Linked DNA regions of Arabidopsis thaliana. The protein of the gene in region 1 interacts with the protein of each later gene in a pairwise test. Each region holds a gene or a part of one and is shown in the gene's direction. Other genes may lie near its edges. The genes, in order: ARR7, LSH3 and ZF3.

Region 1 (3,760 bases):
ATAAAATTAAAGTTTGACAAAAATATTGTATCAATTTGTGTATATATTACTGTCACATATAAGCATGTTAACAATGAGCTGAAAATAATGTTGTTATGAGAAAAACAGTATATTTATATACGATAATAATATTAGTCTTGAAAAATAACTAGTAATATCTTTGGTATTTTGGTCATCGTATCTTGAGATTGTAAGCAAACTTTGTAAACAAATCAGTACGTGACTATATGATGAAGCATTATTTATTACGAAACCAACAAACGGAGAACACTTTTATATATATTTTAGCGTTGTTATGACTATAGTGTTTTTTCTCCTCTTGTAGCTATCGTGACTATATCATCAATAGTCCGTTTCTATTATTCAGGAACTGTTCGTTTATGTTTAAAATCAAATTATTGACTTCTAAAAAATAACTGAATACATGAAAGACTTTGGTGGTTGTGGTTCGTTTTTTTAAATTGGATTTAGGATTTTCTTTTCATAAATCTTAGGTACGGAGCAAATGGATGACTGTCTCTTGATTTGTTTATTTTATTATTCAAAATGTATGCAAAGATCTTGATAACTTGAAACATAAGACATTAAAATCTAGGTGGAAAAAAACATTTGAAAGCAAGTTTGTTCCATATATAAATTGCAATGAAAATAAGAAAATGTGAAACATATTGATGGTTTTTTCCTTTTCCTTTCAGTAATGTTCTTATCACCAATGTTTTGTTTGGCACGATCATCAAATGTTTAGACATGTGGATCAACATTGTAATAATTTTCTCTTCAAATGACTGACTCTTTTTTTTTTTTTCAAAATAATGTTTTTCGTAAGTGTTAGGTGTGAAGACCATCATGTTTTTGCTAGATTCTTGTAGATCTCAACATTGATATTTGTAGATATCTATCAAATCGTTACAAAAAGTTTGCTAGATTCTAAATTAATGCTAAGAAACCAGTTTTCTTTACAAAATGTTTTTGTCAATGTCCTCTCACAATCGGCTAAAAGATGTTACAAACTATAAAGGATCCTCCTCCACAACTTTTGAAGATTTTACTCTCTCCAGATTTTGTCCAAAAAGGACTCACAAAATCACACAATGATGGTCAACTAAAAAAAATCACTAAACAACTTAAATGAAATGATGACAAAACTATTCCCTTTTGTTGCAAAATAAAAAAAAAAACCTTTTAAATCTGCAAAGAGATCCTTATATGATATGGCTGTTGTCCTGGTATTATTTCTCCAATTTAATTTAGGAATTTCATGTTTGACACTTATTTAGGGATCGTATAATATACGTTTTTTAATTGATTTGAAACCAAATAACATGTACTATTGCCTTAGTCCTCTTGCAATTCGTTTAGAAGATGTTATGATTGAGACAAAAGGATCCACCCGCAATACTTTGTCCATATTTTTCTCTCAAGATTTTGTCCAAAAGCAAAAGAGACTCACAAATCACACACAATGGTCCACTAAACAGAGTGCCTTTATTGCATACAAAATTCAATCAATTTAATAAAGGAAACTCAACTGAAAACGATGACAATAAAAAATAAAAAATGTCCCTTTTGTCTTTAAATAAAATAATAACCCTTACTGACGTAAAGAAAATTAAATTAAGATAACCTTGTAAAATACTTCTTACCCAAATTAAAAAAGAAAAAAAAAAAGACAACAAGAGGATTAAATTGTATTAGTATCACCATCATACCATTACACATAAATAAAATTTAGTAGAGTATAAACGAATCACGTGTATAGGAAAATACAAAATACAATGTTGAAGTTAAAATGAATATAGAAGTAGATTAATTGAGCAATAACCACCGGTTTTAGATCATTGATTGATATGTAAGTAAAATGCAAAGTAGTAGCCGACTTGGCAAAGAAAAAGAAAAAAGAAGAGAGAGAGAGGTAAAACTAAAATAAAATTACTAAAAGCAGAAGGAAAGTTCCAGGTCACGAGGGAGTAGTCGCTGTCGGATTGAAAGAAACAGACCAAACAAAGATCTTTGAAATCTTAAAAAAGATTCGGTGCCCAAAGATTTTGACCTTTGAAGACACATTTGATTATTTGTGTTTTCTGACACTTCCCAAACACATAACATCAACACTTGACCCATTTTTAAGATTTTGTTTCCTCTTCAAAGATCTTACCCCGCAAGATCCGATCTTCCAAATCTCTCTCTATCTACTATACTAGTACTTATTAAACCCCACCACCTCTCCCTTCTTATTTATGTCACCTAACCTAACTTCTTCTTCTTTCATTTTATCACATTCATTTCCTTTGTCTTCAATCCAAAGCTTTCCTCTTCTTGGAACCAATCTGCTCTCTTTTTTATTCTGAGTTTGACAATGGCGGTTGGTGAGGTCATGAGGATGGAGATTCCCGCCGGTGGAGATTTGACTGTTACTACTCCGGAGTTGCATGTTCTTGCCGTCGATGATAGTATTGTGGATCGTAAAGTCATCGAGAGGTTGCTTAGAATCTCTTCTTGTAAAGGTAAAAACTCAAAACCAATCTTTTTCTGCTCTGTTTTTGTTGGTTTTAACTCTCCTCTGTTTTTCTTCTTCATTAACAAACTCTCCTCTGTTTTTTAGTTACAAGTGTCTTTTTTTTTTTGTTATTTCAGTGACGACTGTAGAGAGTGGAACTAGGGCTTTGCAGTATCTTGGCTTAGATGGAGGCAAAGGGGCTTCTAATCTTAAGGTAATTAAGAATAAATCTTCCCTCTTTTGCTATCTACTGAGAAGAACTCTTGTATATTTAGGAAAGACCGAAGGAGTGAAACCTTTGCAACTTTGGCTTTGGCTATTGCTTCTTCTTGTCTTTATGATCAAATGAGATTTAGAAATGAACTAGTCTAGTTAGTGATTTATGTGTTTTGGTATTAAGATTTGATTTTGTTTGTGATTTTCATCATAACAGGATTTGAAGGTGAATTTGATAGTGACGGATTACTCAATGCCAGGACTTTCAGGATATGATCTCCTTAAAAAGATTAAGGTAATAACAATAATAATGGATTTACCAATCTGAGAAAGACTTAAACAAAGCTTTTTTAATGCTGCTTATACAAAACTCCATTGATATGTGCAGGAATCTTCAGCATTCAGAGAAGTACCAGTAGTGATTATGTCATCTGAGAACATCTTACCTCGTATACAAGAGTAAGTACTGATTGTGTAATGTGTAGTGATACAGATGGGATCATATTTGTGTCTACACTGTGATCTAAACTTATCGACTTCTTCTTCTTGTTTTTAGATGTCTCAAAGAAGGAGCAGAGGAATTCTTGTTGAAACCGGTGAAGCTAGCAGATGTAAAGCGAATCAAACAACTTATAATGAGGAATGAAGCTGAGGAATGCAAAATCTTAAGCCATTCTAACAAGAGAAAGCTTCAAGAAGACAGTGATACATCATCATCAAGTCATGATGATACTTCTATCAAGGACTCTTCATGTTCAAAACGAATGAAATCAGAATCTGAAAACCTTTTTTCTCTACTTTGAATTATATGTATAGAGGCCAAGACCTTAGCAAAACCATTCTGTTAATATTCCTCAAGAAAGACAATGTTTGAGAGAGTCATCACACTACTCATGATGTTGCTTAAACAAAACAAAACAAAAAAGAGAAAAGAATCAAATGTTAGGTTCACACTGACTTACACCTCATGTAAATTCTTCAATGCTTGCAACTCAAGCTTAGGATGCTCTTCTCCCGGAAGTATTGGTCTATCATCAATCACGCAGG
Region 2 (3,760 bases), on another chromosome or scaffold:
ATATACGATCAAACATATGCATATTGAAAGAAATTTGCAGATCTTTTATCAAAAAAAATTAAGAGATTCATAGAACACTTAACTATAAATTATAGGTTTTATACAAAAACACAAATAAAACTATTATTGTAGAGCAAATTGGTAAATTTGAATACTCAAAAAATTACGCCGGATCAAGTTTTCGAAAGAAGTTAACGGACAGAACGACATAATTGTCGCTAATGGCTGGATTTTCCTGTTCATAAAGAGATATCTCTAAAGATTTTTAACGCTCTCAAGTCTCAACACATGAAAATTGTGCATGTGCACGCAAAACATTGACGCTCTCAACGTATTGAGAAATGAGAATATACATAGGTGATGGTACTTAATTATTTGAATAATTGTTTTATAACTCCCAACTTCGTTAGGCAAATGTTGAGAGTACACTGGTAACTTAAAAATTCGTTGATATTTACAAAAGCAATGTTACGAAGTTCGAGCTACTGCTAGTACCTAGCTAATTGCAATATGTGTCGTATTCAATGATAAATAGTTGAGGAAAGTTAGTGTTTTATCATAGTTTAGAAATGATGTCGTACATAACTCTATTTAGAGTGTTTATGTAAACGAGGATTGATTTTGTAGTTTAGTATGATCTAGCCAGAATATTTTGTCCTTTTGTGATGAAATTTTGTGGAGCAACACGAAAATGTTAACCTAATGGCAGAGATGTCATTTATATTTTCTATGTACTTAAATGTATAAACTACCAAATTAATATAAACTAATTTTCTTTAACATAACTCGGATTTGAGAACAAAAATTCAATCTCGCAAAAATACCATTCTTTTTAAAAGTTACTGATCAATGGGTTGAGATGAATGTAATACTTGATCAATCGGGCTCTATTCTTCGCAGTGTTAAAACAAAAATAGGTGAATTTACTGAAAGTGAAGACCAGCCTATGGTCTATCTTTCGTCTCGGTTCAATATTTTTTTACCATTTTCAGATGACACGCTCTAAATACGTAGTTTGTTCTTTTGTCGGACAAAATAAAAATATTATAGATAAAGAAGATGTTTTGTATTTTGTACAATGGTCCGAAGAAAAGCCCTTTTCACATATGTCCAAGGGAGAAGAATTGAGGGCTACTTTTGTAAAATATCAATGAACTGTCAATCAGTTCTACAGTATAGATAGAAATATATAATTAAAATATTTTCCCATCTTTTTCAAACTTTTGGGTGCCTTTGTCCACACCTAAATGCCCAACTCCTTCTCTGCTTTTTTCTAGCGACAGAAAATTATTTTATCGTAGAAAAAATAGCGAGAGATGAAGAGTAAGAAGACATCCAAGCTTACAAGTCTTTATCAATAATGAAGCCAAATATATATATATTTTTTAAACGATACGTTCATTTACTTTTTCTAAAACCTACAATCATTTTCTCTCTAATCTACCAATTAAGTGATGAGAGTATGCTAGATAAATATACACACTAAAACGACAATACTATTCCCATATGCTTCTTCAGTTCTAGTTGCTTGAGTATTTAGAATCGAACTATTTACAAGATATTTAAAGGTTTCAGAATTTATAGCGGAAGAAAGGATAACAACTAAACTGAGAAAATTCAAATATGAGTCGTGGACGTAAACGAACTATGTATTTAAAAGAATTGAGAGCCAGAAACCACTAATTTAAATATCTCAATTAAATTGTTAGTAAACCCTACACATAAAAAAGAAAAATTCTTTTATAAGAACATCTAAAATTTTAAAACCTAAACGTAATTTTAATAATATACCTATTACTTCCACTGTAATAGGTATTATAGTTGTGTGTTTAATCGAAAGAAAAAGTTTAATAGTTGTAACGAACGTTTTCGTTTAGTATTATCCCGAAAAGGCTATTTAGTCCCTCCGACATTAATTTCGAAATATTACATTAAAAACACCAAACCCGGTATATGAAATGCAGACAAAACAAACAATGGATACAAAAGAGTAAAGGTATGAAAACTATAGTCCACCTATCTCAAGTAATATAAAAACAAAACAAGGGGAAAAAAGAAACGACAAAGTTTATATCATTTTCTCTAATTATATAATAATATTCTCAATAAATCAATTAATACGCAAAATATATATCTGCACAAAGTAACCTTATTATATCTCCCAACCGCACAAACAAAATTTCAGCTCCTCCATATCCATCAAGAAAGATCAAGAATCAAGAACTAATCAATATCGATCGATCCGTTAAAAAAAAATGGATATGATTCCCCAATTGATGGAAGGCTCTTCAGCTTACGGAGGTGTCACAAACCTCAACATCATCTCAAACAACTCCTCCTCCGTCACCGGAGCCACCGGAGGTGAAGCAACGCAACCACTGTCTTCCTCCTCCTCACCATCGGCGAACTCAAGCCGTTACGAGAACCAGAAGAGGAGAGACTGGAACACGTTCGGACAGTACTTAAGGAACCATCGGCCACCGCTTTCGCTTTCCCGATGCAGTGGAGCTCACGTGCTCGAGTTCCTCCGTTACTTGGACCAGTTCGGTAAGACAAAAGTCCACACGAACATTTGTCACTTCTATGGCCATCCTAATCCTCCGGCACCGTGTCCGTGTCCTCTCCGACAAGCTTGGGGAAGTCTTGACGCTCTTATCGGTCGTCTTCGAGCTGCCTTTGAGGAAAACGGAGGCAAGCCTGAGACGAATCCTTTTGGAGCTCGTGCCGTTAGGCTTTATCTAAGGGAAGTTAGAGATATGCAGAGTAAAGCTAGAGGTGTTAGCTACGAGAAGAAGAAGCGAAAGCGTCCTCTTCCTTCGTCGTCGACTTCTTCTTCCTCCGCCGTAGCTAGCCACCAGCAATTTCAAATGCTACCGGGTACTAGTTCTACTACTCAATTAAAGTTTGAGAAGTAAGTAATTATATAATTAAGAGAAATGGAGTATTTTATGTAATCTGAAATGTGATTTGGTCTCTTTCTTATATGTTGATTTTAATTTTAGGTTATGTGGTTCAGTTTTAGTTACTAGTGTATGCTGGGGGGAGGAAGGTAGGGTTTTCAATTTTATTTATATCTAATAAAAGAGAAATTCACATGTATTAATGTGTACATATTTATATATATGAGTATCTATGTATCATTACTATCATCATCATAGTTATATTGGTCTTCTTTTTTCTAAAACAGAGAGGTCTTAGGTTTACTTTAAATCGATTTATGGAGTATGATGATGATACTAGAAGCTAAAATAGTATTATTGATTTTCTTCTTTTGATGCAAAACAGTGGTCGTTTTCTAAAAGTGACAGTGAACTAACAGTGGTCTTATAGTAGTTGACAGTGATTGCACTAACTATTTTAAATTCATGAAAAATTTCAATGCTCCAAAGTCCAAATTCCCCAAAGATTTACTGCATTCGTTCCCACTCACCAATATTCACATGCATACGTGGCATGCTTCAGTAAATATGCTGTCGTATGTTTTTTCATCTCTAAAATCATTTCTTTTTCATGTTAAAGTAGGTTTCATAGGTTTACTTGTGAGTTGTGAGTGATATGTTCTCTTACAGCATAATTGTAGGGAAAAAAAAACAGTTCCGTAAATTCTCCACTTTATGTTTCTTAGTACTTACTTTTTTACTCAAGAAGAACAATGTGCGTGTCTCGGCTTTTGCATAAACCCTAGATTTTGTAGATCTGATGATTCATGATTGATGTTGTATTTTAATTATGGTAATTCCATGTTAAATAGATTGTGTGC
Region 3 (3,311 bases), on another chromosome or scaffold:
TGTAGACATGTAGATATTATCGTTAATGTCCGAGTGTCGGATCACATAGCGAGTCCAAAAAAAGTGAATTCACAACCCAACATTTTTACTAACTAATTTTTTAAAAAAATATTCTAACTACAAATCGAATCTAATTAACCCAATAAGAATTGAATACGTAATTAAAGATGATGATAAACAATATAGACGAGCTACTTTTTAGTCTAAACAACAATTTACTCGTGACTAGAATATGTATCTGCATGCTAATGTGGTCGTTGTCTAATTAGCTTGATTCAAATTCCTATAATACATATTGTTAAAAGATAATGAACAAAGTAATAGTAGAAGACCAAAGGACGGCACGGAATAATTTGAGATTCCGACAAGATCAGATTCACACTCGTTTGCTTGTCTTAAGATCACCCTTACAGAGACAGATAAAATTTAATAAGTCAAAAGTCATTGTCCATAATAAAAACAAAGAAACACAGCTCGGAAATGTATTCTTGTCTCTAAGTTTGAGTTAAGGTACAATGCATTAATCTCACCGATTAGCTATTCATTGGTTGTTAGATCTATTTTTTCAACATCCCGTTACTAGATTAATTATAAAGTTTTTTCTTTCTAAAGATTACACACAAGTTTATACTAGATGTTGTTAAGCTATTGATGATTCAACCATGCATAATCTGTTACCGACGATTCTCCCATTGCAACATAACCCAAAAGGTCCCCCTTCCGCTTGTGAAAGGAAAAACTAAAGGTTTAGAGATATATGCACACATTATATTCGTGAAAGCACATGCATGACCCATATGTTTTTCAAGAGTTTACGAAGGTCATCGTTGCTCAGGCCACCAAACTTTGCTGGTATATCTGCTTCGGTAGCTTGTCTTAAACTCGTTAGTTGCAGCAAGCCTAAGAATCATTACACTTCATTAGGCTTTTCGTTTTTAGGCATCTAACATGATGTGTCTTTTAGATCTCGTAATGTGAGAAAAGAGAGAGAGATAGGTTACTCTTAGAGAATTAGGTTAATTAATTGTTGGAAATTATTTTTTAGTTAGCATAAAGACCTAATTATATAAGTAATTATACAATCTATATTATAACGTAAATAGCTAGTAAAAATGATACAACTTAGATTCTAACCTAAACGTGAAAAAAGCACCCATAATCCTAACTTTAAAAGAAAAGTCCCAAAACCTTATACTAAAGAGAAGACCATTAAACCAAAACTCTTATACCGTATCATGACACAAGTTGTTGAATCCAATTTAGTGTAACTTCAACTCTAGACATTCACGCATTTGAATTAAAACCAATAAAGAAAATTTCATGATTCTTGGTTGCAATGGGCTGTGGGAATTAAGTTATAAGCTCTTTGTTTCTTGTTGTCATGAGTTCTCTACCGAAACATCCAATCATCTTTTATATTCAAGGTTTCCTCATTATAATCTTAATCTACACACATTGCCTCCGTTTTCAAATGTTTGGACCAAGTAATGAATGCTATTGGGTTTGTTCAGAAATTCCCAAAGGTACAACAAACCTACACTTAAATAAATAACTACATATATAAGCAAAGTGTTAAAACATAAATGAAAAGCTAGATGAATATTAATTGTAAAATACGGCCTAAGTTTAGAGACAAGGTTTTTATTAGTTTTAAAGAATCAATCATTATTGTGTGTAGTTGGATTCAAATGTCAACTCTCAACTAGTCAGAAGAAGAGTATATAGCCCGACTTGTGTAACATTTCTCTCCCCCACAAAACGTGCCAAAATTAATATATTCCACTCTCACCAAATGTTGAAATAATATTTTAATTATACATTCACTTTCGTTACAACTTACAACAAACAACTTGCTCAGCACATATTTCGTTTCAACTAAATACTTAAAATAATTAGAATGGCCAATTTGGCCACCCACTCTCACTCTTCTTTCTCACGCAACTTCCTCTCTTCTCAAGATTCTTCTCCATACTTCACCTTCTTCTATATATCTCTCTGCTCTCAAATTAGGTTTTAAATTTTCTATAGCAATGGCGCTTGAAGCTCTTAATTCACCAAGATTGGTCGAGGATCCCTTAAGATTCAATGGCGTTGAGCAGTGGACCAAATGTAAGAAACGATCCAAACGTTCGAGATCTGATCTTCATCATAACCACCGTCTCACTGAGGAAGAGTATCTAGCTTTCTGTCTCATGCTTCTTGCTCGGGATGGCGGCGATCTTGACTCTGTGACGGTTGCGGAGAAGCCGAGTTATAAGTGTGGCGTTTGTTACAAGACGTTTTCGTCTTACCAAGCTCTCGGCGGTCATAAAGCGAGCCACCGGAGCTTATACGGTGGTGGAGAGAATGATAAATCGACACCATCCACCGCCGTGAAATCTCACGTTTGTTCGGTTTGCGGGAAATCTTTCGCCACCGGTCAAGCTCTCGGCGGCCACAAGCGGTGCCACTACGATGGTGGCGTTTCGAACTCGGAAGGTGTGGGGTCTACTAGCCACGTCAGCAGTAGTAGCCACCGTGGATTTGACCTTAATATTATACCGGTGCAGGGATTTTCGCCGGACGACGAAGTGATGAGTCCGATGGCGACTAAGAAGCCTCGCCTGAAGTAAGTCTTTGTTGAAGACCTGGAAGTTTATCAAATGTAAATATCAAATTTCAATTTCAAGGAACAGTTTTGTTGATTCTATTACCAATACACAATACGATTCAATTCCTTTGTTTCTGAAGTAACAGCATACTAAATTCATTAGAAAACCGAATCGAAAATATTTACAACTGACTTTTGTTTGGTTGTTAAACTATCAAGTGAATTTGGCCTCTCTATTTGAATTAGATGATCTCCTTACATTCTCATAACTCCAAAATTGCCGATAATGAGTAGCTTTCTTACTTACACTCTGTTTTGTTAACTTTGCCACCTTACTATTGTAGCTGTGTAACCTGTGTCCTCAAACTGCATTCTGTTACCTGCATAGTTTAGAGATTAATCCCCAACACTGTAGGTATAGTGCAGACAAATCTATAATGAATTTGAGATATTGTACCTGCAGAGCTGAGATTGTGTTTAGAAGGTCCCGGCACACGTCGAGCATCCCTTCGTCCTTGGCATTCACACGGCCAAGTTCTGCTGCCAAGCTACTTATTTTCCCAACCTGGGATATTGGCTTTCACTTTGAAGATACAATATGAATAAAACGCAATAGAAGATTGTGCCATAAACATTATCCGAGAGAAAAGAAGAGTCACCTTTGGCAGCAACAAGCATATGGAAGATGCCATTGCTTGCATAACATCAACTGCTGAACAAA

The links.
Region 2: the proteins of ARR7 (region 1) and LSH3 interact in a two-hybrid assay, tested with the Arabidopsis thaliana proteins (one large-scale study listed by BioGRID).
Region 3: the proteins of ARR7 (region 1) and ZF3 interact in a two-hybrid assay, tested with the Arabidopsis thaliana proteins (one large-scale study listed by BioGRID).

What each region holds. Positions count from the first base shown.
Region 1 is NC_003070.9:6,577,675-6,581,434, reverse strand, and holds ARR7 (response regulator 7), read left to right. Parts: upstream 1-2,120; 5' UTR 2,121-2,356; coding exon 2,357-2,504; intron 2,505-2,634; coding exon 2,635-2,711; intron 2,712-2,930; coding exon 2,931-3,008; intron 3,009-3,101; coding exon 3,102-3,172; intron 3,173-3,269; coding exon 3,270-3,516; 3' UTR 3,517-3,602; downstream 3,603-3,760. UniProt on the Arabidopsis thaliana protein: Functions as a response regulator involved in His-to-Asp phosphorelay signal transduction system. Phosphorylation of the Asp residue in the receiver domain activates the ability of the protein to promote the transcription of target genes.
Region 2 is NC_003071.7:13,275,648-13,279,407, forward strand, and holds the start of LSH3 (LIGHT-DEPENDENT SHORT HYPOCOTYLS-like protein (DUF640)), read left to right. Parts: upstream 1-2,062; 5' UTR 2,063-2,255; coding exon 2,256-2,915; 3' UTR 2,916-3,760.
Region 3 is NC_003076.8:17,330,351-17,333,661, reverse strand, and holds ZF3 (zinc-finger protein 3), read left to right. Parts: upstream 1-2,015; 5' UTR 2,016-2,030; coding exon 2,031-2,612; 3' UTR 2,613-2,717; downstream 2,718-3,311. Other genes in the region: QWRF9 (QWRF motif protein (DUF566)), read right to left, coding at 2,926-2,970, 3,048-3,155, 3,250-3,311. UniProt on the Arabidopsis thaliana protein: Transcriptional repressor probably involved in abiotic stress responses. Binds DNA in a sequence-specific manner and can repress the transactivation activity of other transcription factors.